Ovis aries: one gene and its partners. The protein of the gene in region 1 interacts with the protein of each later gene in a pairwise test. Links are inferred from orthologs where the notes say so. Each region holds a gene or a part of one and is shown in the gene's direction. Other genes may lie near its edges. The genes, in order: FATE1, SLC38A1, KCNS2, SLC7A1, BNIP3, NDUFB11 and SEC22A.

Region 1 (4,090 bases):
ATTGTGCTTGGTTTCTTTACAAATAGCCTCCTCTTCCTCAGGAGCTCTGAGGCTATTCCCAAGAGCTGAGGGTTCACCTTCGGTGGCTGTATGAGTCAGAGTTCTCCAGAGAAATGGAACCAATAGGAGGTATGTATGTGTATGTATATGTATTGTTGCACTCACTCACTGAGTCATATCTGACTCTTTGCAACCCCATGGACTGTAGCCCACCAGGCTCCTCTGGCCATGGGATTTCCCAGACAAGAATACTGGAGTGGGTTGCCATTCCATTCTCCAAGGGATCTTCTCAACCCAGGGATCAAATCTGGGTTTCCTGAACTGGCAGGTGGATTTTTTTTTACCACTGACTCACTATGCATATATGTGTGTGTAAAGAAAATTTTATTTAAAGAATTTGGCTCATGCCATCATAGAGCTAGCAAGGCCAAAATTTGCAGGACAAGTCAGCAGGTTGGAATGTTAGGGAGGGGTTGAGGTGTAGTCTTGAGCAGAATTTCTTCTCTGGGAAACCTCAGTCTTTGTTCTTAAGGCCTACAGCTGATTGAATGAGGCCCATTCACAGTATCAAGGATACACAATGTCCTTTACTTAAAGTCCACTGATTATAGACATCAACAGCTACAAAAAGTGCCTTGATAGAAACATCTAGACCAGCACGTGATGGAATAACTGGAGACCTTAGGCTAGCCACATGGACCATAAACATGACCACTGAGGTCTATTCAGTAGGGAAGCTGAGGGAAAATTTGACTTAGAATAGGGGGTGCAGGGCTGGGGACACTGGAGGCTCCAGTAAGCAGGCCCCTCTTCTGCACATCTCTCCTTTGGTTTTCATGGTTCCTGTCCAGGATGATCCAGGGTGTCAAAAGTCATGTCCCTTGCCTGGGAATTCTGGATGGGGTAAGGCAGGATGTGCTCTGTAGAGGATGCTTTCTGAAGGGGGCTATGGCCTGGACTGTTAACCAAAGCTGGCCTTGCAGAAACCACGGTGGGATCTAAACCTGCTTTGGCCACTGACCAACTCTGGAGTCCTGTGCCAGCCCCTCCCTCTATCTAGAAATGAGGTCAAATCGGATGAGCTGAGAGCCAGGGCAGCTTTCCCAGGCAAAGATTCAGAGTCTATCGCTTCTCCTAAGTTGCTTACAGAGTAGCAGAGAAGAAGACCTTGAACCCAGCCAGCAAGATACAGCAGGAACAGGAGGTGCTGGGTCTAATGCTTGAACTCAAAGTGGGAGTCTGGCTCCACCCCTGTGTCCAGATATATCTTCCGCAGAGAGCTGATTTCCCAAGCCTCCTCCGAGCCTTGGACCCTGTGCCTTCTTGGCCATTGCTTACAATTGGTGGTGATGGCAGGAGGAGCAGTCCCTAACCTCAAGGAAAAGATGCAAGTGCCAAAGGATGAAGACCTGCTTCTTGGAAGCTTTAGGGATAACCAAGAGCGCTCAGTGGCAGCAGGTGAGGATCCCCCGTAATGTCCCTTCCCTTGGGTATCTACACCTGTGCATGCATGTTAGAAAATGCGCAGGTTTGGCTTGGCAGAAGCATGAATGTGTGTTTGCATGTATTTGTGGGTACCTGTGTGTGAGGTAATGGGATTGATAAAAGTGAGCCTTTTGTAGCGTGTGACGGGGAAGGTTGGATGAACACCCCTCCCATTGCAAGCCACCAGTGGATCTTAATGCAAAACACTCAGTGGGTTCAATTTATAAGATCATTCAAAGCAATTCTCTCTCCTAACCTTCCAGTACCTTCTTCTGCCCTTTAGAGTAAAGCTCCTTTCCATGATCTACAAGATCCACATAAGGTCACCTCCTCAATATACTTCCTGCTGTGGCATGCTGACTCAGTCCACAGTGCCTTTAAGCCTGTCCTGTAACATCCCAAGACTCTTTCTTCTTCACAGCCTTTTCACTATGTGTTCCCTCTTTCCTCAGATTTTCTATGGCTGGACTCTTTCTCTTTCAGGTCTCTGCCTCAGTGTTGTCTCTGACTTTTCTAGAAGTATCCCCTTCCTTCTGTCTTGTTATCCTGTTTTTATTGTTTTGGGAGCATGCATCTCTTGATTTGCACTGATGGATTATTTCCTATAACCCCCACTCTCGTTACCACTTTCTCTGTACACACACAAACAATCAATTTTTTATTGCTGTGATCTTATTTCTTGGCCATTGCTTGCTCTTTAAGAACCTAGCCCAGAGCTTGACACTCAGTAAACACTTACTATATTTTGAGTACATGAAGAAATTGAGACCTGAGATTAGCCAGTAGATGCCAGAGAATGGGTGTTGAGTGCTTCCTAAGATGTTGGGGGACCCTATCCTATTTTTTGGTGTGTTCTGTGCCCATGAAACCTTGGGATAGCCTCTATGGGTATTCCTTGGGCCTCTGTTCTTCTCCCTAGAAATGAAGGAGCATATATCTCGGTTGCTGGGTGCTTCTCAGCGGCGACAGAAGGTGGATCCAAAGGCTGTTGGCTCTGCTGCGGTTTGGAATATGGCTGCAAACCAGTCCAAGAAGGTGGTACTGTATGGCATTTGGTGGCTAGCTTGAGTTTGGGGGAGTTTGCTACAGTTGTAGCAGCTCTGGTATGGAGATGGTAGGTCAAGCAGGGCAGATGTTGACTTTGGGGGAAGGACAAAGCTCCTGTGTTCTGGGCAGGCAAATGAGGGCAACAAGGTCTGGCAAGAGATCATGGCCATTCTTTGTTAGTTCAACCTTGAGGGTCCAGAATGTCTGAAACACACATTGCTTGTGGAGTACATATCTACTTTCTTTTATTAATAAATTAGTAAATATATCTATATTTGAATCTCTATATGTATATATGTATATATCTATATGTTATGTCTACTCTCTATATATATTTCTATATAGAAATATGCAAAAGTATAAAAATCATTATATATATATATATATATATATATATATATATATATATATATAGTTGCTGTTTAGTCTCTAAGTTATGTCTGACTTTTTGAATCCCCATGGACTGCAGCATGCCAGGCTTCCCTCTCCTCCACTATCTCCCAGAATTTGCTCTAATAAATGTCAATTGAGTCAGTGATGCTATCTAACCATCTAATCCTCTGCTGCCCCCTTCTCCTTTTCCGTTTAATCTTTCCCAACATCAGGGTCTTTTCCAGTGAGTTGGCTCTTTGCATCAGATGGCCAAAGTACTGTAGCTTCAGCAACCATCCTTCCAATGAATATACAGGGTTGTATATATATCTCTAAGCATATATAAATATAGATATACATGTATCTATATCTATCTTAGGGCTGGGACTAGGGTAAGGCAAGTGAAATGCCTATGCTCTCTGGCTACTAGGAAATCCAGTCAATTGAATCTGAGCATTTTGTAGCCAATCCTTTAAGTTACATTCTATATGAGTGAGGGAATGTTCTAGAAAAAATGGTGGCTATACTGTTGCAAAAGATACTGAGAAAAGGCAGTCATTTTGGAGAAGAGAAAGTCCTGACTCTTCTTGGGAATCACATGAATCCCATCATCCTTCTGTAGCCAATTCTTTTAACTACATTCATCTTGGGTGACAGAAAATTTTAGAAACATAGTTGTTAAACCACTGCACGTTTACTGGGAAAGGGCAACACCTTTGGAGAGGAGGGAGACCTGAGTGTTCCAGGCAATCATGTGAGTCTCATGTTTTGTAGCCCATCTGATAAGTAAGCTACTTTTGCTGCAGATGCTGGCAATTTTAGAAACATGGTTGTTTTACTGTTGCAAAGGTTATAGGAGGTAGAGGGAAGGCAAATTGACTGGAGAGGCAGGAAGACCTGATGTTCTAGAAAATCAGCCGAGTTACATTTTGTTCCTCTGTAATGAATTTTTAAAATTATACTAACCATATGAGGGAATGTTGTAGAGAAAATGGTGGCCATGTTGTTGCATTCAGTTCAGTTCAGTTCAGTCGCTCAGTCGTGTCCGACTCTTTGTGACCCCATGAACCACAGCACGCCAGGCCTCCCTGTCCATCACCAACTCCTGAAGGTTACCCAAACTCATGTCCATTGAGTCAGTGATGCCATCCAACCATCCCATCCTCTATTGTCCCCTTCTCCTCCT
Region 2 (3,500 bases), on another chromosome or scaffold:
TTTTCTTATTAATTTGGTTTTTCAAATACTGTGTTACTTAAGAGAGTTCAAGTGTTTGTGTTGCTTTATATTACTTGTGATTAGTTTGCAGATGAATAATGGTCATCTTCAGATTCATCTGTGAACCACTGAATACATTGTATATGATTTGCCTTTTGGTTTAGTTGGAAAAGGTTGGTAAATCAGGCATGAAGGAATGAACGTTAAGACCACAAACTGGACAGAAGAATATTGTTGTTCACTTTAAACTGTTGCAGTGATTATGGGTTAGTTTTTGATTGCTCTTCTAAGAGAATGAAAGGACTGCTTATGAATTCCCTCATGGGTTCTCTTCTTGGCCTACTGTTATCAGACTTTCTACATAAAAATATTTATCATGTCATAGTCTCTTTTTTTGAGATAACTGGTTTACAACTTACATAGGTTTCATGTGTACAACCTGATATTTCTACTTCCATACACACTGTGTCCTGCTCACAAAAATATAGTTCCCATCCATCACCATACACTGGATCTCCTTTCCCCATTTTGCCCTCCCTCTACCCCTTCCCTGCTGGTAACCAATGCTCTATTCTCTGTAGCTACATCCTTGTAAATTTATTCCTAGATATTTTATTCTTTTTGCTGCACTTGTAAATGAATTGTTTTCTTAATTTCTCTGTTATCTCACTGTTCGCATATAGAAACATGGCAGATTTTTGTATGACTTTGTACCTTGCAACTTTACTGTACTTGTTTATTATCACTAATAGTTTTTTGGTAGAGTCTTCAGGGTTTTCAGTATATAAAATGATGTCACCTGTAAATAGTGACAGTTTTACTTTATTCTTTCCAACTTGGATGCTTTTTATTTTTTTTTTTCTTCCCTAATTGCTCTGGCTAGGACTTCTGCTATTAGATTGAATAAGAGTGGTAAGAGTGGGCATCCTTGTCCTCTTCCTCATTTTAGAGGGATAACTTCCATTTTTCATCATTTAGAGTGATGTTTGCTGTGGGTTTGTCATTGCTGATATTTTGTTGAGGGTTTTTGCATCTATATTCATCAGAGATATTAGCCAGCAATTTTCCTTCTTTGTGTTGTCTTTGTCTGGTTTTGGTATCACAAAGATGTTGGCCTCATAATATGTTATGAACCATTCCCTCCTCTTCAGATTTCTGGAAGAGTTTGAGAAGGATAGGTATTAAATCTTCGACTGTTTGGTACAATTCACCAGTGAAGCCCTCTGGTCCTGGACTTCTGTTTTTCCGGAGGTTTTTGCTGACTGCTTCAATCTCTATACTAGTGATGGGTCTGTTCATATTTTCTGTCTCTTCATGCCTCAGTCTTGAAAGGTTATATGATTCTAAGCATTTGTCCATTTCTTCTGGGTTGCCCAGTGTGTTGGTGTATAACTTTCATAATACTCGTCCCTTGTATTTCGATGGTGTTTGTTGGTACTTAGTCTCTTCTGTGTCTGATTTTATTTATCGGGGCCTTCTGTCTTTTTTTCTTTGTAAGCCTGGCTAAAGGTTTGTCAATTTTGTCTTTTCAAAAAATCAGTTCTTAGTTTCATTGACCCTTTCTATTGTCTTTTTATTTTTAGTTTCTATTTTATTTATTTCCACTCATTTTTATTTCCTTTCTTATACTGACTTTGGACTTTGTTCTTCTTTTTCTAGTTTCTGTAGGTGTCAGGGTAGATTGTTTGACATTTTTCTTGTTTCTTGAAATAGGCATCATGGCATAGTCTTAAGCTCAGAAAAGATTAACAGTATAGTTATCTGTTTCCATTTTGAAAGAAAGATGATGTTATTCAGGGTTGAATTCACTCATGATAGTTCCTCTTTCATTTTAAATTGATTTATGACTAAGTTTTGAAGTATTTATATCTGCCTATCTTTGCATACATTAGTCCTGCTTTATGATCTTATATTTAAGGTTTCTTAGGCATCTTTTAAACGTCATAGTCCTGCTTTTAGTTTGTAGTTTTCTTATGTGGGTACTTCTCAGTTTGTCTTGTTTTCCATACTTCCTGTTATGACATAGTCAAATGCCGTGCTTCTTGGTGGCCTACTCTTTGAGTACAAGTCTTGGAGATTAATTGTTTAGGCAGCTAAAGAAACTTAGAGGTTCATGCCAACTCCCAAGATCAACTTAACCTAAGAGAGAGAGAGGCTTTCCTTATCCCAGCTGTGAGTTCTTGGGCACCAATTGCTGTGGAGACATACAGGCTTCCCTGAGGCTGTGTGAGTGCGTGCGTGCTTAGTCACTTCAGTCCTGTCTGACTCCTTGCGTCCCCGTGGGCTGCAGTCTGCCAGGCTCCTCTGTCTGTGGGATTTTTCCAGACAAGAATACTGGAGCGGATGGCCATGCCCTCCTCCGGGGGATCTTCCTGACCCCGGGATGGAACCAGTATCTCCTGCACTGCAGGTGAATTCTTTACCCACTGAGCCACCTGGGACACCCTCCCTGAGGCTATTCGGTGGGAAAATCAGACCTTAAATAGCAGCTTTAATGACAAAACTCGCAAAGTCAAATTCTAGCTCAGCGCCTGATCTCTGGAGCCAAGAAAACAGCATTGGAACTTATTCTGCCTTTTTCCTGTGCATCCTGAGTGTGGAGATAGTATCAAACAAATGTTAAAAAAATACACTCTGCCCTTCAGATGAGAACGCAGTATTCTTTCAGAAGAATGGGGAAGAACATTCAAGGGATTGTTTGTTCCACGGCTCTTTCTCTCACAATACCCAATCAGTGTAAAGAAGGTTATTGGAAACTGGCATATTTGGTATAATTACTGGGGGTAATTACAGCAGCTCAAATCAGCCCAAGCCTGATAGAAAGAATGTTAAGTTCCATTCTTCAGGGTTAATATTTGTGCTTACATTCAATAACACGGTTTTTAATTTCTCAAATTTCTTTTTCTTTGTTTTTAGTCGATCACAGAAAAAGATGCAGATGGTTTCAAATATCTCCTTTTTCGCCATGTTTGTTATGTATTTCTTGACTGCCATTTTTGGCTACTTGACATTCTATGGTAAGTACCTTCTGTCGGTACCTAAATATAGGTATTAGTAAGTAAATTATTATAAATCAGTATCAAAATATGTACTGATATTTCAGTGTGATAACCCCCAAAAGCAACAAATCTATCCATTGATTTTACTGATCTTTTCTTCTGCTTAAAGCAAATGGCTATGGTTCCTTTACATATTCATGCTGACTATGCAATAGAATAATTACTGAAACAACATGCCATAATTTTTTCTCCTAATACTGTCCTTAAAAAAAAATGCATTTTATAAGCATGTCACCTTTACTAAGGAAGGTTTAGAACTATATCAGAGAAGGCTTTCCTAATTGCTGTTGTGAACTGGGTCATTTTCCATTAATAGAAAAGAGAGACAGAGACAGATTTTGAAAGTGAGAAAGAGTAGAGTGCTACACTCATGACACTGTGTGTTAATTAAGAATAAAACACCTGATTGTTCAGCAGCAGGTGGAGCTTTGCTTCAATATG
Region 3 (4,086 bases), on another chromosome or scaffold:
GGGGAGGGGGGCTCCCCAGGGACTGTGGGTCCATTTCTCAGCTCTAACACAGCGGCAGTGCTTTGAGGAACAACCGTAGGAGACCAAGAGCTCAAATCGGGGCCACTGGTCTCCTGGGGAATGCAGACATGGGTACTGCGCACATCTATGCTGGATCCACACCCGCCAACTCCCGGTGGTGTCCACATACACACGTTTCGCGTTTCATTCGGCACTCGGACCCGGTCACAGCCCCACGGAATACTATGCTGTATACAGCACGCTGTACACACAGCTTACAGTCTGCCATTGTGTGCACACATCACAATGACAAGCCCCGGCTTCCCCTGTTCTGACACACTGTACACATTTCCCCCACTACCCCAGAGGTCCTATTTTTAATTAACGCTGCGCAGACCGTGCAAAGCCCTACTTTCCTCAGTCTATACACACCGACACACACAGTTCCCAGCCATCCTCCGAAGCTGGCACACCACGTCGGCCTGCACACACACAGTGCCCACACAGAGCTCCCAAACAGAACTCCGTGACTCCCTCCCACGCCGGTAGGGCCTGCGCTGCCGGCCCCAGCAAGCTAGGCTGAGCTCGACCTTGGGTTTCTGTGCCCCCCGCTTCTCCCCCCTCTTCTCTCATTCCTTTCCTCACCACCCCGCTTCCCCCGCAGCCTCAGGAAACTTTTCAGCAGGTCCCTGAAAGGGGGAAACCTGGAGTTCCTCACGTCCCGCCCTTCCCCCTCGGACGGATGCAAGTCGCCGGTCATTCCCCAGGTCGGCTCCGCCCGAGAGACTCAAGTAGGGAAAGGTCACCGTAGGCAGCCCCCTGCCTGCGCCCTGGGAGCAAGAGGGTGGTCATAACAGCCTGTCATCAGGGGAGGTAGGTGAGTGATCGGGAAAGGTGTCGGCTCGGCCTCGAGCCGCGGGCGCCAAGGGGTCTCCGCGACGCCGAGGCGGTGGCCTCTCTGGAGTCCGGGCGGCGGCCTCGCGGGGAGCTGGGAGGCGCGGAGCTGTCCGTTCAGCACCACCGCGCCGCGCCCCAGAGCAGGGCCCGCGCAGAGGCGCACGGGCTCGGCTCCCGCTCCGGCTCCCGCGGGCTGCGGCGCGCGTGGTTGTCTCTCCTCGGTGCCGAGGGGCGCGCGGATCTAAAGGGGGGGGGGCTCTGCTAGCGTCGGGGCCACGCAGCCACCTGTGAGCCTCCCGCAACTGCGGACGGCGGCGGCCTCTCCGGCCGGAGACAGGAGGCGCTCGGCGGACCCCGCCCGCCCGCCGGGCGCACACACAGGCGCACACACACTCAGAGCACCCTCGCGCACACGCACAGCCAGCCGGCAGCGGCGGCCGCAGCGATGCTCGCCGGCAGGTCGGGGAAGTTTCCCGCCGGCCTCGGCCGCGGGCCCCAGAGCTCGCAGGTAAGCGCTTCCAGAACGCGCAGGGCGAGCCGGGGTAGCTCCGCCGGGTAAGGCGCGGCGCACGCGGCTCCGGGGCACGGCGCCAGGCGGGCGGGGGAAGCCCGGGGCGGAGGACGAGGGGGGCTTCAGTCTTGGGGGGCTGGACTCCGGCGGCGCCGGGCCGGCCCCCTTACCCTGTCCTGGGGTTAAGGACTCGAGAGGTGGATTTCCCCGCCGCCCCCTCCCGATGCTACGCGCCCCCCCATCTCGGCCCAGCCCTGCCGGTGCGCATCCCAGCTCTGGTCCCGCCTGTCTGCGGCGAGAGGGCGGGGGCGTCTCCTCGGCCCGCCCACGGGCAAGGTCAGCTCGCAGCTCGCGGAGCCGCTGGGGTGCGACCCCGGGCAGCGGAAAGCGACCGACAGAACCCCCAGGATGAGGGTGCGGGCGCGGCCATGCTAGTGGAAGCACAACCCGCCCTCCCCAACTCCAAGCCTTTCTTTGGGAGGCGGGGAGGCAAAGCCCAGAGAACGGTCCTCCCATCCCAGTGTCCTTCAGTACTCAGAGACCCGCTGGAGAGGACCGGGCGCGCTAGAGACGGGTGGGGAGAAGGGAAGGGGTGCCCGAGCCCTGAGCGCCGGGCGCTCACCCGACGCGCTTGCTTTGGCTTCCAGGTGTAGCGCCCCCGCGCGGCGCGGGCGGCCGGCGTCTCCAGCATGACTGGCCAGAGCCTGTGGGACGTGTCGGAGGCCAACGTCGAGGATGGAGAGATCCGCATCAACGTGGGCGGCTTCAAGAAGCGGTTGCGCTCGCACACGCTGCTGCGCTTCCCCGAAACGCGCCTGGGCCGCCTGCTGCTCTGCCACTCGCGCGAGGCCATTCTGGAGCTCTGCGACGACTACGACGATGCCCAGCGCGAGTTCTACTTTGACCGCAACCCCGAGCTCTTCCCCTACGTGCTGCACTTCTACCACACCGGCAAGCTTCACGTCATGGCAGAGCTGTGCGTCTTCTCCTTCAGCCAGGAGATTGAATACTGGGGCATCAACGAGTTCTTCATCGACTCCTGCTGTAGCTACAGCTACCACGGCCGCAAAGTGGAGCCCGAGCAGGAGAAGTGGGACGAGCAGAGCGAGCAGGAGAGCACCACGTCCTCCTTCGACGAGATCCTGGCCTTCTACAACGACGCCTCCAAGTTCGATGGGCAGCCCCTGGGCAACTTTCGCAGACAGCTGTGGCTGGCGCTGGACAACCCCGGCTACTCGGTCCTGAGCAGGGTCTTCAGTGTCCTGTCCATCCTCGTGGTGCTGGGGTCCATCATCACCATGTGTCTCAATAGCCTGCCAGACTTCCAGATCCCTGACAGCCAGGGCAACCCGGGCGAGGACCCCAGGTTCGAAATTGTGGAGCACTTTGGCATTGCCTGGTTCACCTTTGAGCTGGTGGCGAGGTTCGCCGTGGCCCCCGACTTCCTCAAGTTCTTCAAGAACGCCCTAAACCTGATCGACCTCATGTCCATCGTCCCCTTTTACATCACGCTGGTGGTGAACCTGGTCGTGGAGAGCACGCCTACCTTGGCCAACTTGGGCAGGGTGGCCCAGGTCCTAAGGCTGATGCGGATTTTCCGCATCTTAAAGCTGGCCAGACACTCCACTGGCCTCCGCTCCCTGGGGGCCACCCTGAAATATAGCTACAAGGAAGTAGGGCTGCTTCTGCTCTACCTCTCTGTGGGGATTTCCATCTTTTCCGTAGTGGCCTATACCATCGAAAAGGAGGAGAACGAGGGCCTGGCCACCATCCCCGCCTGCTGGTGGTGGGCCACCGTTAGTATGACTACCGTAGGGTACGGGGATGTGGTCCCGGGGACCACAGCAGGGAAGCTGACCGCCTCTGCCTGCATCCTGGCAGGTATCCTGGTGGTGGTACTACCCATCACCTTGATCTTCAATAAATTCTCCCACTTTTATCGGCGCCAGAAGCAACTTGAGAGTGCTATGCGCAGCTGTGACTTCGGAGATGGAATGAAGGAGGTCCCTTCCGTCAATTTAAGGGACTATTATGCCCATAAAGTTAAATCCCTCATGGCGAGCCTGACGAACATGAGCAGGAGCTCGCCAAGTGAACTAAGTTTAAATGATTCCCTACATTAGCTGGGAGGGCTTGACATCCTCAAACCCACATTGCTGAGCTGTCTCTTGTGCCTCTGGCACGGTTCAGGTATCCTAGGGTTATGGCGTGAGGAGTATGCCCAGCCCCAAAGGGGAGAAAATGCATGGGATCTGCACCCCAGGTTGCTTCTACAGTATTTAGGATCATTTTTAGAGGGTGGTGTGTCTGACACCATGCCTTTGCACCTTTCAGTGAAATGACACTCACTGGTCTTCGCATCGTGGGCATAAAATGTTCACCTTTCTGCCGGATGAGTACCACCTAGAATGCTAATTTCTCCGTTCATTGTATTCTCTCATCTAGTGCTCATGGCCCAGGACTGTCTCTGAGTTGTTTGTGCTCCTGTTTCTGAGGCTGTCATGTGCGTTCCGTACAAAAAGCCCCCACAAATACGTCCTGTGGAAACACATCTGTGGGGCCTGCAAGGATAGGATGAGGTTTTGCTCACAGTCGGGTGAAAACAAAATCTCAATTCTTTATCCATTGCTTTCATTTAGTTTTAATATCAAACAAAGAGAATGTGAAGTTAAGCAGAC
Region 4 (3,500 bases), on another chromosome or scaffold:
GGTTTTTTTTTTTTTTTTTTTTTATTTATTTTATTTGGAGGCTAATTACTTTACAGTACTGTAGTCTTTTTTGCCATACACTGACATGAATCAGCCACGGGTGTGTGTGTTTCTCCCATCCATCCTGGATCCACCTCCTTCCCCATGCCACCCCTCAGGGTTGTCCCAGTTTGGTGCATGACACAGGGCATTCATGCTGTTTTGAAGAGACTGTTTCTGCCAGCTGATGGGATTTCCTGTCGCTGGCCATCCCCGTGCTCTGCATCCCTGCGGTGATGACCCGCGCTGGCCTCTGGCCAGAGAGGTGTTTGTTTCCTGGCCCCTTGGCCACCAGTGGGGTCCTGGAGTTACGTCTGCCCACAGCCCCGGGGCCGCTGTCCTGCCGGACGGGGGACGCTGCAGGACTGGGCCTAGCTGCTCGGGGTGGCCGTCAGGGTGGCTCCTCTTCAGGCCCACGAAGCAGGGGCCTGTGACCCTGACGGAGGCTCTCTCTTTCAGTGACACAGAGGAAGGGAAACCCGGTGTCGGTGGGTTCATGCCCTTCGGGTTCTCCGGTGTCCTGTCGGGGGCAGCCACCTGCTTCTATGCCTTCGTGGGCTTTGACTGCATCGCCACCACAGGTAGGTCCACCGCCCTCGGGACACCTGGGCTCGCCTGGCCAGGCGTCTGATTCCCCTCCCCCGGGTGTGTGCATGCCTGCCGCTGCCCATTTGCTCCTGAGTGCCCGAGTGTGGGTTTGCACCTTCCTGCCAATCCCCCTTTCATTGCTCCCCAAGTGGCCTGCCCGACAGGAACTTGCCTGCCTGTCCCGTGTGGGCCCGGGGTGATGGCACCGTGGCTGCAGCTGGCGGCAGACCCCATGTGCGCTCCGGGGGAGTGTGGCTACCTAGTCCGACTTTGTCCGGGCACTCGAGGGGGCCGGGCTCCAGCCTCCAGTGTGTTCTCTTTTCCACGATGACTCTCAGCGAAAAGGCTGAGAGCACCTTCCCTGGGCCCTTGGGTATTGTGTCTGGTCTGAGGGCCTCTCCCCTGGGTTCCCCGGAGCCTGGAAGGGCCCTGGCCCTGCAGGGCCATGAGCTGCAGGGTGGTCTCAAGCCCTCCGGCTGAACTCCTCCCGCCTTGCAGGGGAGGAGGTGAAGAACCCACAGAAGGCCATCCCCGTGGGCATCGTCGCGTCCCTGCTCATCTGCTTCATCGCCTATTTCGGGGTGTCGGCCGCCCTCACCCTCATGATGCCTTACTTCTGCCTGGACAAGGACAGCCCCCTGCCAGACGCCTTCAAGCACGTGGGCTGGGAGGGAGCCAAGTATGCGGTGGCCGTTGGCTCCCTCTGCGCCCTGTCTACCAGGTGAGGGGCAGAGACGCTCGGGAAGGCGGGTGTGCCGTGACCACTCCTCTCTCCCCTTGAAGTAGAGCCCAACCCAGCCCCGATCGTGGGACTTCTCCCCTTGGGCTGCTCTCGATCAATCCCTGGGGCTGTCTTTGCGTTAGGGACGTTCATCTCAATAGCCTGAGGCCCACATTTCATCATTGTCGGCTCAGCAAGGGCTGCGTCTCTTGTCCCTGACTGTGGCCACTGGCCAGACCAGGCCACCTCTGTGAGCACTGCCTCTGGCCCTTATTTTGGCCATAAAGCAGAGGCTACCATTGAAAAGGAGCAAGTGCCGCAAACGCCTTTTAATGAGAGTCACTTTGCTCTCATGCTCCCTGCTAGCCTGTACACACAGGAAACCGCTGTGGACTTCAGGGAGATCTTCATGAAGGCAGTGACGTTTTTCTTTTTGATTCAGCTGGAGATAATCGCGGGAATAAACGCAGAACATCTCTTCCATAGCACTGTGTCTAGATGCCACGCTGGTTTACGCTAGGCGTTTCCCACTCACACACACGTGCAGACTTGCTGCAAGCGCTCCCCCGGGCCCGGCGTGTCGCGCCGCGGGCCTCCCAGGTTGGAGCCGGCTCCCTCTCCTGGGTGTGAACACCTGTTGCGATGCCTTTATTCTCCCAAGCTCTCTTACGGACGCAGTTCGCTTTTCCTCCCATCTAGTCTTTTAGGTTCCATGTTTCCCATGCCTCGAGTCATCTATGCCATGGCTGAAGACGGGCTGCTGTTTAAATTTTTGGCCAAAATCAATGACAGGACCAAAACACCGATAATCGCCACCTTAACCTCGGGTGCCATTGCCGGTAAGAACTGGAATCTCCTATCCAGCATTTTAACGGCTGAGTTATTACTCCCTAAGGCAATGTCTTGGCCTGTGCCCGTCTGAGAGAAGTTGCGACTGGTCTTTCTAACGTTTGGTTTTTACCCTTGGAGTCTGGTTTGTCGCAAGGTAACTGAGTGCCTTTTGACAAAAGGCAAATGCTAGTTTCTCAGAGGATGTAATGGAATTCTCAAACAGGTCGCATTTTCCAGTGATTACCGTCTCACTGGACTGAGCTCGGCATGTACACTGTCCCTTCAGAGCTGTGTCTTGCCCCTTCCCCAGGTGTCCCTGAGTAGACCTTGGTGGGGTAAAGTCCTTCACAGTATATCCCCTGTCTTGTCGGTGCTGGAAATTCACCGTCCGTGTGTCTTAGCTCGTGAATTCTCTAGGAAGCGAGAATCCCTTACGATCAGCGTTTTATAAAACATGCCACCTCTTCCCCAGGGGACACTGAGGGTGTGTCTGGGGTAGCCCTCCGCCCTGAGCCTATGAACAACAAATGGCAGGAGAGAGGAGGTGGAGCTGACGGATCGCTATCAGGTCCCTCGCCAAGAGGACAGAAGGGAGCGGCGGGCTGGGGAACCCTTGGGCCTCTGTGTGCACCTTGAAAGGCAGGGCAGCCCTGGAAAGAGACCCTTGGTTTTGTTTCCTCTTTGAGTCGCGTTTCACCGCCCAGAGGCAGGTGCACAGAGGAGAGGCGGAGGCTCAGAAGGGGGAAGTGAGGATGCACGCCCAGGGAGGACAGCAGTGGTTCTCGGTTCCTGGTTTGTCTTGGGGCCAGGCTGGCTGGGCCCTCCCAGCCCATGTGTGGAGCAGGAGGTCTCTGTGGTGAATGAGGACACGTGCCAGCCACAGCTGGATCACAGGGACTTGTCAGATAGCCACAGGGGAGGCGTTTGACCCTCTTGATGAGTGAATTGTTAACAGCATTCACACCCTTAGCAAAATGTGCTTACTTTTATGGGTCAATGTTGTTTAACGAAAGGAAGCCAGTTTTTCTTATTTCACACGTGTGCTGTATGAGTCTGCATTCTCGAGCATGATCGCTGTGGGCAGGTTAAGGGACACCGTGTGTCAGTATGTGACCCATGTGTTTAAGGGATTAAGGAACTGGAAATAGTGAGTGTTTTTTCTTTTTTTCCTCCAATATTCACATGTAATGTGATCGTACTGAAGACTGGCCTTAATTTCCTTCCTGTGCTGATTAAGGGAGATGAAACTACAGTCTTTAAAGCCACTGTAAAGTTCTTGTATCACCAGACCAAGGGTTTGCTTTTTCTTTATTTGGTCAGA
Region 5 (3,500 bases), on another chromosome or scaffold:
CACGCGTCACGGCGTGGCTCCGCAGGCCTGCCTGGCCTCCGTCAGCGCCCAGACGGCGGGCCCTTTGCTCTCAGGTCGGGGGACACCACCCGTGGGGTCCTGCCCCTGCTTCTGCCTGCTGGGCCTCGAGCTCAGCTGGGAAGGCAGGGGGCCGCTGTGACTGTTGGGCCCTGGTCCCCCCGGGTCTGGCTGCTGCCTGCTGGGTGTCGAGCTCATCTGGGAAGTCAGGGGGCCGCTGTGACTGTTGGGCCCTGGCCCCCCCCCCGGGGCTGGCGGGAGTACTTCCTTCTCCCGGGACGCTGTCCCCTGTGTGTGGGGGTCTGTGTGTCCTGATGGGAAGGTGGACATGTGCTGTTTCCCCCAAGCCCGCCCCGCTCACAGACCCCGCAGGACACTAACAGAGCTTCTGAGACAGACGCGCACAGCCTCGGAGAGAAGAACAGCTCCCAGGTAGGGTGCGCACGGTCTGCCTTTGTGATCTGTCGGAACCGGGTGCTGGGGGACCTGGCCCAAGAGCAGGACTTCTGCTTCCTCAGACCCTGTCTCAGCTGTGGGGGTGGGGCGTCTCCAGCACTTCACAGAGTGGACCGGAGGCAGCCGGGCCATTTGGTTCAGGGTGTGTGCCCAGGGCCCCCTCTGCCCCACACGCCCTCCAGGGGACGAGGGGCGGGAGAGGTGGGGGCCCGTGGGGGTCTGGAGGCCTGCGCAGGGCCTCCCCACTGGGACGGCACTAGTTGCTTCCAGAAACCGTGCCTTGGGCTTCACTGACTCGCGCTTGTGTGGTTCGGGTTAGGAGCTGACCAGACTGGTGGAGGCTGAGCCTCGTTTTCTGACTTTCCTTTAAGAATCTCTGAGTTGCTGGGGCCGTAGCCCCGGCTGGGGGGAAGTCCATGAGAGCAGGGTGGGCTGTGGCCCGAGCTGCCTTGCTGAGACCTGGGCTGGGCCAGTGGCCAGTGCGGCCTCGCCAGGCCGTCTCCCTGCCTGCTGCCTCTTGTGATGCTCGGGGGTGTCGGGATCTAGGAACCTGGGGGCCCCTGCTTTCCTGGGGGCTCAGCTGGTAACGAATCCGCCTGCAGTGTAGGAGACCCCGGTTCCACTCCTGGGTCGGGAAGATCTCCTGGAGAAGGGAAAGGCCCCGCTCCCTTCCTCACTGTGAGAGCTGTGGGGACCGAGCTTCCGGCCGATGCCACTGGTCCCCGTGCTGCCTGCCGGGTGCCCCTCAGGCTCTCCCTCCCCAGGGGCTCAGCAGTCCTTGTGCTCGGGCTTCTCCAGGGTGCTGCCTGCCTGCTCCCAGATGTGCAGGGTCCAGCCCAGCTTTGCTGTGTCCAGGTGTTTGGTTGGTTTTGGTACCGTGTTCTAGAATATTTCCATAATTTCCCCCCCTGAATTTAAAGAGGAATTCTATGATCAGGCACAGAGTTTTTAAAATTCTAAGAAATGCATCTTTTTAAAGCTCTTTAATTAGCGTACTGTTAATAATGTGTATCTTTAAGGTCACTGAGACCAGGGGTGTGTGTGGGCTTCTGGTCCTCTCTTCTGCCAGACGCGGACGTGCACCTGCTCACTGCAGCCGTGTGCCGTCAGCTCAGGCACATTCCTGTTGCGGGCCTTTTCAGGGATTTCTGTTTTTCCTTTTACACCCAGGACCACAGCCGGCGTCTCTGTGGACGTCTGTCCCCACTGGCCGGTGCCCCCCTGGGGCAGTGCCTGCAGCTCAGGGCCGCTGGAGTCCGGCGGGCCCTCCACAGGGGGTGTGGCGGGGGGCGGCGAGCTTCCTGGGGTGGAGGCAGCGGGTTCACCGACCTCGTCTCCCGCAGTCCGAGGAAGACTACATGGAGAGGAGGAAAGAGGTCGAAAGCATCCTGAAGAAAAACTCAGACTGGATTTGGGATTGGTCCAGTCGGCCAGAGAACATCCCCCCAGCCAAGTGAGTCTGCGTCCGCGGGGGCCTCTGGGGCCGGGAGCCGGCGCCCGCTGACCGCCTCTCCCCGCAGGGAGCTCCTGCTCTTGAGGCACCCGAAGCGCGCCCCCACGCTCAGCATGCGCAACACGAGCGTCATGAAGAAGGGCGGCATCTTCTCCGCCGAGTTCCTCAAGGTCTTCCTGCCGTCGCTGCTGCTGTCCCACCTGCTGGCCATCGGGCTGGGGTGAGTGTCGCCCGTGCCGGCCGCGGGCGCAGGCTGGGGAGGCTCGCACGTGGAGGGTGCTGGTCTCCCCGGTCCTGACGCGGGTGGACGGGCTTCTCCTGGGCAGCCTTCTGGGCCCCCGGCTGTCAGGATGGGCTTCTGTTGCGGGCTGGGCCCCCAGGCTCGAGAACGGGGCAGAGCAGATGCCGGGCTCGCTGGCTTGGGGAGGCGGGAGCAGAGCCCCCACCCGTCCCCCTGAGCCCCGGCCCATGGCCTGCCCCCGCTCTGGGCTCTGCCCTGCCTTCCCCTTAGCACAGCGTGTGGACTGTGTGGGCCAGTGCCTCTGAGTCGGGCTGTCAGTCCTGCAGGGAGCTTTGTCCAGAACCAGCATTCAGGTCCTCTAGGGCCTGGCGGGGTCAGGCTTCAGCCTTCACTTTGGGGTGGATTTCTGCAGGTGTGTCTGCTCTCTGAGACTTCACGGGGGTCAGGATCAAGCCCTCCTGTCCCGTTGCTCTGCGGAGACCCCCTACTGGCCTGCAGGCCCTTGATGTCCTCCCCCCCGCCCTCCTCCCGGACAGCCCCCCGACACCCCTCCGTTCTGGGCTCCCTGGGGCGTCCCGTGCAGCAGTGGTTTCTGTGAGATGTGCCGATAAACCTGGGGCTGTCAGCTGTCCTGTGGGCGACTGTCTGATCAGGTCAGAAAGTGAGGAGACAGGGAGCCTCTCAGCTCAGGAGGAGCTGGCCTTCGTGTGTGCCGAGTGTGTGCGCTGCGAAGCTATTAGCACACAACTGGCTTTTTCTGAGTTGGATGCTGAAATGCGTGCTGGTAAGAGTGACGCCCACGCGTCCACTGAGTGCTGGCAGCCAGGCCCCTTCGGTGAATGAGCTGGGCCGGTCAGCTGCTGTCTCAGCAGCGCGCGCCCCTGGGAGGCGCACTGCCATGTGACGACCGCCTCCTTTCTCTGTCAGGATCTACATCGGAAGGCGCCTGACCACGTCCACCAGCACGTTCTGATGCAGGCTGTAGCCCAGTGTCCCCACGCCGCGGGGGCCCGTGCCCCGCACAGCGCACAGAAGCAGCTGTCTCGGTCCTGGGCTGCTGCCCCGCTCGTCGTTTCTTCTGGCAGCGCCGCCTCCCTAACTCAGAGAGACAGACAGTAAACCACGCTCTCCCGCAGCCAGACTTGGGGATCGAGTGACAAGCATGTCATTGATTAATACCTACTGTAATAATTTGGTAGTAACCTTCCTCAGATATTATAAATATCAAAGTATAAATAATTTTAAAATCTCTAGTTATGTTGTATGCAGTATTTTAATGAATTACCTGCGACCTTGATCGCGTTAGACACTATTTTGAGGGAAGGGATGCTG
Region 6 (3,991 bases), about 26 Mb from region 1:
GTTCCGAGGATAGAGACCCGAGTCAGATCGACGATCTCCCTTCTCCTCCACCCAAGAATAAGGACCAGAGCCACAGAACACTTCCCCATGGGTTGGTTAGTACCAAAGTCACACACGAAAGCAGAGAGCACACTTTTTCGGCTAAAAAGAAAAGTCGCAGACAGCGGCCTCCCACGGAAAAAGTTCGGCGTCGCAGACACAGTGAGCCATAGGAGCCCACTCCCATCCGTCCCTCCCTTCCCCCAAGCCGCGTGCACCCATCCAGTGCCCCAATCGCGCACGCGCCTCTGCTCTCAAAAGGAGAAAAACAAAAAACAATAAAAAAAAGACACCCTCTCCCAGGCTCACAATGTGCAAAGCATCGGTCGGTTCTGCGCGAAGCCCAGACCCATCGACCACAGTCCGCCCTCGTGGGTCCTCTATGCAACCCCCTCCACCCCCGGCCCCTTACCTCCACCCCCACGACCAGCGTCGACTCTCACCTTCTGCGCCCGGGCTGTCAAGGGAGGGCTCCCGGACATCACCTCGGCCCGCCGCCACCTCCTCCAACTCTTCCAGCTCTGCCCGAGCCGGTCCGCGCAACTAGCAAGTCCGAGGCTGGAGGCAAAAGGGCGGAGGAGGGGAGGGGAAAAGCGCCAGGAGCGCTGCCCTCCCCGGGAAACCCACTGTCGCCTACTCCCAGCCGGCCGCGATCACCAACACAAAATGGCGACGATGAGAAAGGAGCCGGCGCTTCGACCACCATCCACCTACTAAGGGAGCGCGCTCTGGCCAACCCCGTCTATTGGTCGCTGTCAGCCCTCGGTCATCCCTGGCCTATTCTGATTGGCAAGCATATTGCCACCCCTTGCGAACGCCCGCAAGTCGAGAAAAGCGGCAGCTATTGGCCAATCCGGCGAGGCTGGCGTTTTAGAAGCTTGGCTTCCTTCGAAGATGAAAGACCAACGGAAGCTCCGCCCCTTTCGCCGGAGGGCGAGGCAGCTCTCCGCGCGATTGGTTGGGAACATCCACGCATGTGTCATTGCTTTCTTTTCGTTAAGTAAATTCCAGAGCCTAGCGGTCAGAAGTTCCATAGTCTGACTGAGAGGATAAGAGGGTGGTTGATTCCCTGAAGTCATGACAGAGTGAGGCAAAAAGAACCTCTCACCCGTTCGAAAGCAAAGTCCTGATTCGGGACCTATTTCGTGCGGCGGGGGCGGAGCGACAACTCTCGCGCTTAGAACAACTGCAGCTGCGCGGAGTCACACTTCCGTCCCCGACCCCGAGAGCTTGCAGAACGATCTGTTATGGCGGCGGGGATGTTGGGTTTGTGCGGCCGCCGCCTTTTGGCAGTAGCGGCGACGCGAGGGCTCCCGGCTGCCAGTGTTCGCTGGGAATCTAGCTCCTCCAGGGCTGTGATCGCCCCGTCCACTCTGGCGGGAAAGCGGCCGTCAGAACCGACTTTACGCTGGCAGGAGGACCCAGAACCCGAGGACGAAAACCTCTATGAGAAGGTGAGAGGGAGGGGAAACGGGACGCCGGAAGGGTCAATCGGGGACCGGCGGATAGGGCGCCGTAGAGGACGGTCTTAGTCGGCTGGGAATTGCGCAGCTGGCGAAATCTTCGAAGATTTGGAAATTCTGCCTAGCTTGTTTCCTCCTTTGTACGGGTTCAGGGTCAGAGATTGGCCTTATTTTGCAGACAGACATCAAACCTGAAGTGGGCAATGTTCAAAGCACGTTTGAAGCAATATAGAATAACAATGTTACTAAACACTGGTGTGGTGCTTGCTCAGGTGTTTGAAGCACTTTACATACATTAACTCATTTAGTTCTCATAATAACCATATTTCGAGGTAGGTGGTTTTGGTGTACCCATTCTACAGATGAGGAAACTGAAGCATAAAGATGTTAAGTGACTTGCCTAAGCTCACATAACTGAATGTGTGGCAGAACTAGGTTTGCTGTGCTATCTGATAGTGGACTGAAATCAGAATGCCATAGTTGGAATACAGGCATTGACCTTGGGCAAGTAGCTTAAGCCCTTGATGCTTCAGTTTCTTTGTAAGATAGGGAAAGTATTAGGACATTTTCTAAAAGAATAAAATACTATATGTGCCTCCGGTATTTAAATGAGTCAAAATGCTCAAAACGGCAGCTGGCACTTAGTACAAATACTCACCATTAGAAGTTTGTTTGTTTGTTTGTTTTGCCACTTTCCACCTCAGTGGGTTATTGTGCAATTTGTGCTTGTGAAAAGGCCTGGCATATAATAGATGCTTCATCCATACTGACCCCTTGTTGAGGGGCTTGGATATATAGGATACTCATTCATGCATTCTGTAGCTATGCATTGAGGGCCTGCTGTATGCCAGGCTAAGTTCAATGTGCTATAAATTCAGCAATATAGAAATCAGATAAAGCCCTTGCTTTCATAGAGCTTATGTGGTACTGGAGAATATAGAAAATAAACATGTAAAATATTAGAAAACAGTAAGATAGGGTATGCAACCAATAATATAATGTGATCAGAGTATTTGAAGGATATGATACTTTGGTAAACAAATAAATGCTTGAAAGAAAGTTAAATAAGATAAGTGGATGGAGAGTTATAGGGATAGGAAGTTATGAGGTTGAAGAAATAGGAAATAGCCAATATCAATCATTTTTGACCTGTAAAAATGTCAATTTCCTATAGGTCAACTTAACAGATAAGGTGACTAGGGAGTGCCTCCTAAGGGGAATGAAGATGAAGCCGACAGCTTGAATAAGGAGACAGATCCAGCCCCGACTAAATCTGGGGGAAAGGCTTTCCAGACAGAAGGAACAGCAAGTGCAAAGGCTCTGTAGTGGCAAGGAGCTTGACAAGTCCTAAGAACAGACAGGAATTTAGGGAGGGAGGAGAGATTGGTTCAGGGTGAAGTTGGAGACCAAGTTATACAGGACCAGCATCAGGCTCTGTGGAGCAGCAGGAAGCCCTCGTTGACTTCTCTCTGCCATAGAACCCAGATTCCCACGGTTATGACAAGGACCCTGCTGTGGACGTCTGGAACATGCGAGTTGTCTTCTTCTTCGGATTCTCCATCGTCTTGGTCCTTGGCAGCACCTTTGTGGCTTATCTGCCTGACTACAGGTGTGTGGGGTGTCCAAGAGAGTGGGATGGGTGGGGACAGAGGCAGGGGTGGATACTGTAGGAGACTGCCAGGAGTCCATTCCCTGGGGAACTAAGATGGGGATTGATGTCCACTGAGGCTCCCTCACATCTTCCCTCATGCTGCTGCCTCCAGGATGCAGGAGTGGGCCCGCCGGGAAGCTGAGAGGCTTGTGAAATACCGAGAGGCCCATGGCCTCCCCCTCATGGAATCCAACTGCTTCGACCCCAGCAAGATCCAGCTGCCAGAGGATGAGGACTAACTGGTTGCCAAAAGGGGCATAAGAAGCACCACCTTCTCTACCCTGCCTGCCATTCTGCCCTCTCCTCAGAGCCCCTAATTAAAGGGACTGAAAGTGTGACTGGCTGGTGTTGCTTCTGTTGTGAGAAGGATGTGGGAGTGGGGGTGTCAGAGTAGGGGTGCCTTTTCTGGGTATTCTGGTTATCTGTTGCCATGTGACAAACACCCTAAAACTTGGTGGCTTAACACAATTTAGTATTATGTTTCATGGTCCTATGGTTGACTGGGCTCAACGAGGTAGTCCTTCTTGAAGATTTGGGTGGTTGCAGTCAGATAGTGGCTGGGGCTGGAATCACTGGAAGGCTCAACTGGGTTGAACATCCAAGATGGCCTCTTTATTTCCATGTTTGGTACTTGAGTCTTCTGTGTGGCTTCTCTCTCCAGCAGAATAGCCTGGGTCTTTTGTACGGTGGCTCAGGCCTCCTCTGCATAGAGGTGTGGCACATGGGAAGAAATGGACAGCAGCCATCTTTAGAAAAAAAGCTACCATACTGGGACTGCTTATGTTGGAAGAAGGGCCAGGGTGACCAGGGATTGAGGGTGGTGGCTCAGAGCTGGGCT
Region 7 (3,500 bases), on another chromosome or scaffold:
ATGTGAATATTTTAAAAGTTAAATTTAAAGTGATATTAATAAATTCTGCTTCTATAATAGCAGAGAAAAAGGGAGAGAGAGAGACTCTGATGTAGATCAGGGTTCGGTAGGAAAAACTGCTGTGACAGATTAGCAGTGTCTGGCATGGGAGTGGCAAGGTTATAGCCTGTATGCTCTGTTTGCTTCCCTTGAGCTAGACCAGAACGATGTTGACAGTACTATGCAAGAACATTTAATGACTCGTTGAAAACTATCAATTTCTGTCCCATCCTATGCACGTTATAGGGCAATGTATACTTTGTTTTAGAAATTTTTTTTCCAATAGAAGATGGTTAAACATTTTTGTTTTTAAATTTTAACTTATTTAGAAATGATTTCAAACTTTCAGAAAAGTTGCACAAGTATGAAAATTACAAATATTACTTGAACCCAGAGTCACATTTTGTTAACATTTTACCCCATTTACTTTATTGTTTTATCTATCTGATTTATTTTTGTCTAAACCATTTGAGAGAAACAAAAATACCATACCCTTTTATTCCTAACTACTTCAGAGTGTATTTTCTAAGGTTAGAGATATTCCTATACTTAATTATAGTATGGTTATCAGATCTAGTATATTTAATATTGATACTATACCTTTACCTAAACTACCGTACCGCCTGTTTTCTGTTTTTGTCAGTTGACCAAGGAATATCCTCTATAGAATTTTCCCCTTCTGTAACACAGGATCCAGACTGGGTTAGGTATTGCATTTAGTTGTGTCTCTTTAACCTCCTGTGATCAGAAATGTTTCCAAAGCCTTTCTTTCTTTCTTTTTTTTTTTACAACTTTGAGATTTCTAAAGAATACAGCTCCCCACCCCATACCCTTTTAAAGAAAATAGAACGTTGATTACTCTGGTGTTCCTTCGTGATTAGATTCAGATTATGCATTCTCAGCCAGAACTGATATGTCTTACCAAGGATCACATCTGGAGGCATGGGAAGGCCATCTGTCCCTCTTTAGTGATATTAGAGTACCTGGTTAAGGTGTTGTCTAGTTTCTACTGTTTTATAAATACAGTAGAATTCCCCTGCAGCCAATAAGCAATCCATGAGAAGACATTTTAAAGCCATGCACGATTTCCTGCTCCTTACCAAAGTACCTACCTAGATTTAGCACCCACTGTTTATAAATGGATTCATTCTTTACTGTGTAGGCTGCAAAGTGCTAAGTTTCCCAGTTCTACCACTGTCTCCACATTTACCAGGTGGTATTCAGCATTCTGCTATGAATGAGTCTTCCTTTCTTCCCTTTTATTTGTTGTTATGAACTCCTAAATTCTCTTTTTCCCCCAATGATACATAATTCATTTTGTGAAGTAGAGGATTTGATTTTGGAGTCAGTGGATAACTTTAGGAGGTCAGTAATCACCTTGAGACTGTTAGCCAAATTCTGTGTTGTTTCTGCAAAGAGTGTCCATAACTTTCATCAGAACCTCAGTGTTGAATTCCTCTAGGTTGAAGGATTGAAATGTTAAGCTATCTGTGACTCTTATCTATTTGCATAGTCTTTCCTGCTTTCTACCCCAAATGATAAGTAACTGAAACATTCGAATCACAGTATATGTCCCTCTCCACTGTTTAAAAATGAATCTTAGTTTGAATGTAGTTGATTTACAATGTTGTGTTAGTTTCTGCTATACAGCAAAGTGGATACATTCACTTTTTTGTCTATTGTTTTTAAACTGCAACTGATTTCAATTCCTTTAATTTTTTGCCAAAATATTTAATAAGTGTTAATATCATCAATGCCTCTGTAGCAGCAGTGTATGGTGTATAGAGCCAGTCTTGTGAAGTAATGGATTACCTTGATTTAATTTGAAATTTTAAATCCGATGTTTTCTACACTGTAGTTTTATTAGCTCTATGGGAGTGAGCTACATGATGTTGTGCACTGAAAATTACCCAAATGTTCTGGCCTTCTCTTTCCTGGATGAGCTTCAGAAGGAGTTCATTACTACTTATAACATGATGAAGACAAATACTGCTGTCAGACCGTACTGTTTCATTGAATTTGGTAAGGGCCTGATTTTTTTTTTCTCCCTTTTCATGTCTCTATTCAGTCATAAATGACTTTTCATCTAATACTAAGGGACAGAGAGAAAACTCAAAAAATTCTACTAACTTTCTTTTGACAGAATAGTTCGACAGTCTATAAATTATGGCAACTTCTTCACTTGGATGCCTATTAGAAAAGGTTCTCTTTGAACTCTCTAGAGGATCGTGATTATTGGCTCAAAGAATTAATCCCAGAGGATAATTTCTCAGTGAGAAATTTATAAGCTACAGATTCAGAGCTTTGTGTTTATGTGATAGTATTTTTAGGCTGCTTAATATAGAACAGAAGTTGACAAACGTTTATTGGAAAGGACCAGATAGTACAATTTTAGGCTTTAAGGATTATTTTCTCAGTCTCAGTCCTTGCTATTATGGCTTGAAAACAGCCATAGGCAGTGCATAAATGAATGAGTATAGTTATATTCCAGTAACATTTTGTTCACAAATAGAATCAACAGGCTAGATTTGGCCTGTGGACATTAGTTTGCTTGACTCCTGATGCAGAAGGGGGAAAAAGGGTAAATTCAAGGTGCAAATAGTGGAAATAAAATTGGGAGAAATTTAGGAAATGTCTTTTATTGATTTCATTAAATTTGTTCTTTAAAGCATATGTTCTAATGGTATAAGCAATAAATAAGAAAACAGGTTTATATGAACATGCAATTTACAGTGTATGTTTTAATGTAATTACAACTGGTAATACTTACAGATAATATTTTATGAGATCTGAATCCCTGTACAAATTAAAGCTTTGGTTTAAATTTAAAGGGAGCTGTTTTCATTTTTTTTTAAGAGGTTCAGAGTAATTCCTTGAAGTGGATATAATTGTAGAAGTATTCTCACAATCATGTGATATTAAATCCTTAGTTTAGTTATAATTACTAGTTTCTAGAGTATAATTTCTAGTGAGAAAAACTGATGATGCCATGATATATTAAACACAAATAATATTAGGGCATTCCATGACAGGTTGAACATTTAGGATAACAAACTGTTTATCACCAAATTTACTGTCTGTAAACATCACACTTTCAAATGATTTAATTAACAAATGACTGCAAGGAAATTTATTTTTTATTTTACATAGATAACTTCATTCAGAGGACCAAGCAGCGATATAATAATCCCAGATCTCTTTCAACAAAGATAAATCTGTCTGACATGCAGATGGAAATCAAGCTGAGGCCCCCTTATCAAATTTCCATGGGTGAGCTGGGGTCAGCCAATGGAGTCACATCTGCATTTTCTGTTGACTATAAAGGTGCTGGTAAGATTTCTTCTGGTGAGTTCTGGATCTCAATTACTTCATTAAAAAAGTATTTTCTAAGAACTGAGGGGCTCTTAAAAAATGAATTAATTTATTCTAAAATTTTAAAGCAAGTACATGAATGTAGAAGC

What was found.
Region 2: the proteins of FATE1 (region 1) and SLC38A1 interact in binary tests that used the Homo sapiens proteins (3 or more experiments, as listed by UniProt). The two-hybrid records come from large-scale screens. The link is inferred for Ovis aries from reciprocal best matches to the Homo sapiens genes FATE1 and SLC38A1.
Region 3: the proteins of FATE1 (region 1) and KCNS2 interact in binary tests that used the Homo sapiens proteins (3 or more experiments, as listed by UniProt). The two-hybrid records come from large-scale screens. The link is inferred for Ovis aries from reciprocal best matches to the Homo sapiens genes FATE1 and KCNS2.
Region 4: the proteins of FATE1 (region 1) and SLC7A1 interact in binary tests that used the Homo sapiens proteins (3 or more experiments, as listed by UniProt). The two-hybrid records come from large-scale screens. The link is inferred for Ovis aries from reciprocal best matches to the Homo sapiens genes FATE1 and SLC7A1.
Region 5: the proteins of FATE1 (region 1) and BNIP3 interact in binary tests that used the Homo sapiens proteins (3 or more experiments, as listed by UniProt). The two-hybrid records come from large-scale screens. The link is inferred for Ovis aries from reciprocal best matches to the Homo sapiens genes FATE1 and BNIP3.
Region 6: the proteins of FATE1 (region 1) and NDUFB11 interact in binary tests that used the Homo sapiens proteins (3 or more experiments, as listed by UniProt). The two-hybrid records come from large-scale screens. The link is inferred for Ovis aries from reciprocal best matches to the Homo sapiens genes FATE1 and NDUFB11.
Region 7: the proteins of FATE1 (region 1) and SEC22A interact in binary tests that used the Homo sapiens proteins (3 or more experiments, as listed by UniProt). The two-hybrid records come from large-scale screens. The link is inferred for Ovis aries from reciprocal best matches to the Homo sapiens genes FATE1 and SEC22A.

The regions. Positions count from the first base shown.
Region 1 is NC_056080.1:84,015,895-84,019,984, reverse strand, and holds the start of FATE1 (fetal and adult testis-expressed transcript protein), read left to right. Parts: upstream 1-1,290; 5' UTR 1,291-1,349; coding exon 1,350-1,458; intron 1,459-2,404; coding exon 2,405-2,520; intron 2,521-4,090. UniProt on the Homo sapiens protein: Involved in the regulation of endoplasmic reticulum (ER)-mitochondria coupling. Negatively regulates the ER-mitochondria distance and Ca(2+) transfer from ER to mitochondria possibly implicating it in the regulation of apoptosis.
Region 2 is NC_056056.1:140,259,054-140,262,553, forward strand, and holds part of SLC38A1 (sodium-coupled neutral amino acid symporter 1), read left to right. Parts: intron 1-2,916; coding exon 2,917-3,017; intron 3,018-3,500. UniProt on the Homo sapiens protein: Symporter that cotransports short-chain neutral amino acids and sodium ions from the extraccellular to the intracellular side of the cell membrane. The transport is elctrogenic, pH dependent and driven by the Na(+) electrochemical gradient.
Region 3 is NC_056062.1:78,729,947-78,734,032, reverse strand, and holds the start of KCNS2 (potassium voltage-gated channel subfamily S member 2), read left to right. Parts: upstream 1-1,286; 5' UTR 1,287-2,097; coding exon 2,098-3,531; 3' UTR 3,532-4,086. UniProt on the Homo sapiens protein: Potassium channel regulatory subunit that modulate the delayed rectifier voltage-gated potassium channel activity of KCNB1 and KCNB2 by altering their kinetics, expression levels, and shifting the half-inactivation potential to more polarized values.
Region 4 is NC_056063.1:31,276,558-31,280,057, forward strand, and holds part of SLC7A1 (high affinity cationic amino acid transporter 1), read left to right. Parts: intron 1-498; coding exon 499-620; intron 621-1,125; coding exon 1,126-1,348; intron 1,349-2,047; coding exon 2,048-2,187; intron 2,188-3,500. UniProt on the Homo sapiens protein: High-affinity, low capacity permease involved in the transport of the cationic amino acids (arginine, lysine and ornithine) in non-hepatic tissues.
Region 5 is NC_056075.1:50,240,391-50,243,890, reverse strand, and holds part of BNIP3 (BCL2/adenovirus E1B 19 kDa protein-interacting protein 3), read left to right. Parts: intron 1-365; coding exon 366-450; intron 451-1,817; coding exon 1,818-1,927; intron 1,928-1,994; coding exon 1,995-2,147; intron 2,148-3,095; coding exon 3,096-3,141; 3' UTR 3,142-3,500. UniProt on the Homo sapiens protein: Apoptosis-inducing protein that can overcome BCL2 suppression. May play a role in repartitioning calcium between the two major intracellular calcium stores in association with BCL2.
Region 6 is NC_056080.1:57,659,142-57,663,132, forward strand, and holds NDUFB11 (NADH dehydrogenase [ubiquinone] 1 beta subcomplex subunit 11, mitochondrial), read left to right. Parts: upstream 1-1,273; 5' UTR 1,274-1,286; coding exon 1,287-1,493; intron 1,494-2,980; coding exon 2,981-3,111; intron 3,112-3,265; coding exon 3,266-3,392; 3' UTR 3,393-3,491; downstream 3,492-3,991. Other genes in the region: RBM10 (RNA-binding protein 10), read right to left, coding at 452-521. UniProt on the Homo sapiens protein: Accessory subunit of the mitochondrial membrane respiratory chain NADH dehydrogenase (Complex I), that is believed not to be involved in catalysis. Complex I functions in the transfer of electrons from NADH to the respiratory chain.
Region 7 is NC_056054.1:188,442,778-188,446,277, forward strand, and holds part of SEC22A (vesicle-trafficking protein SEC22a), read left to right. Parts: intron 1-1,897; coding exon 1,898-2,061; intron 2,062-3,189; coding exon 3,190-3,384; intron 3,385-3,500. UniProt on the Homo sapiens protein: May be involved in vesicle transport between the ER and the Golgi complex.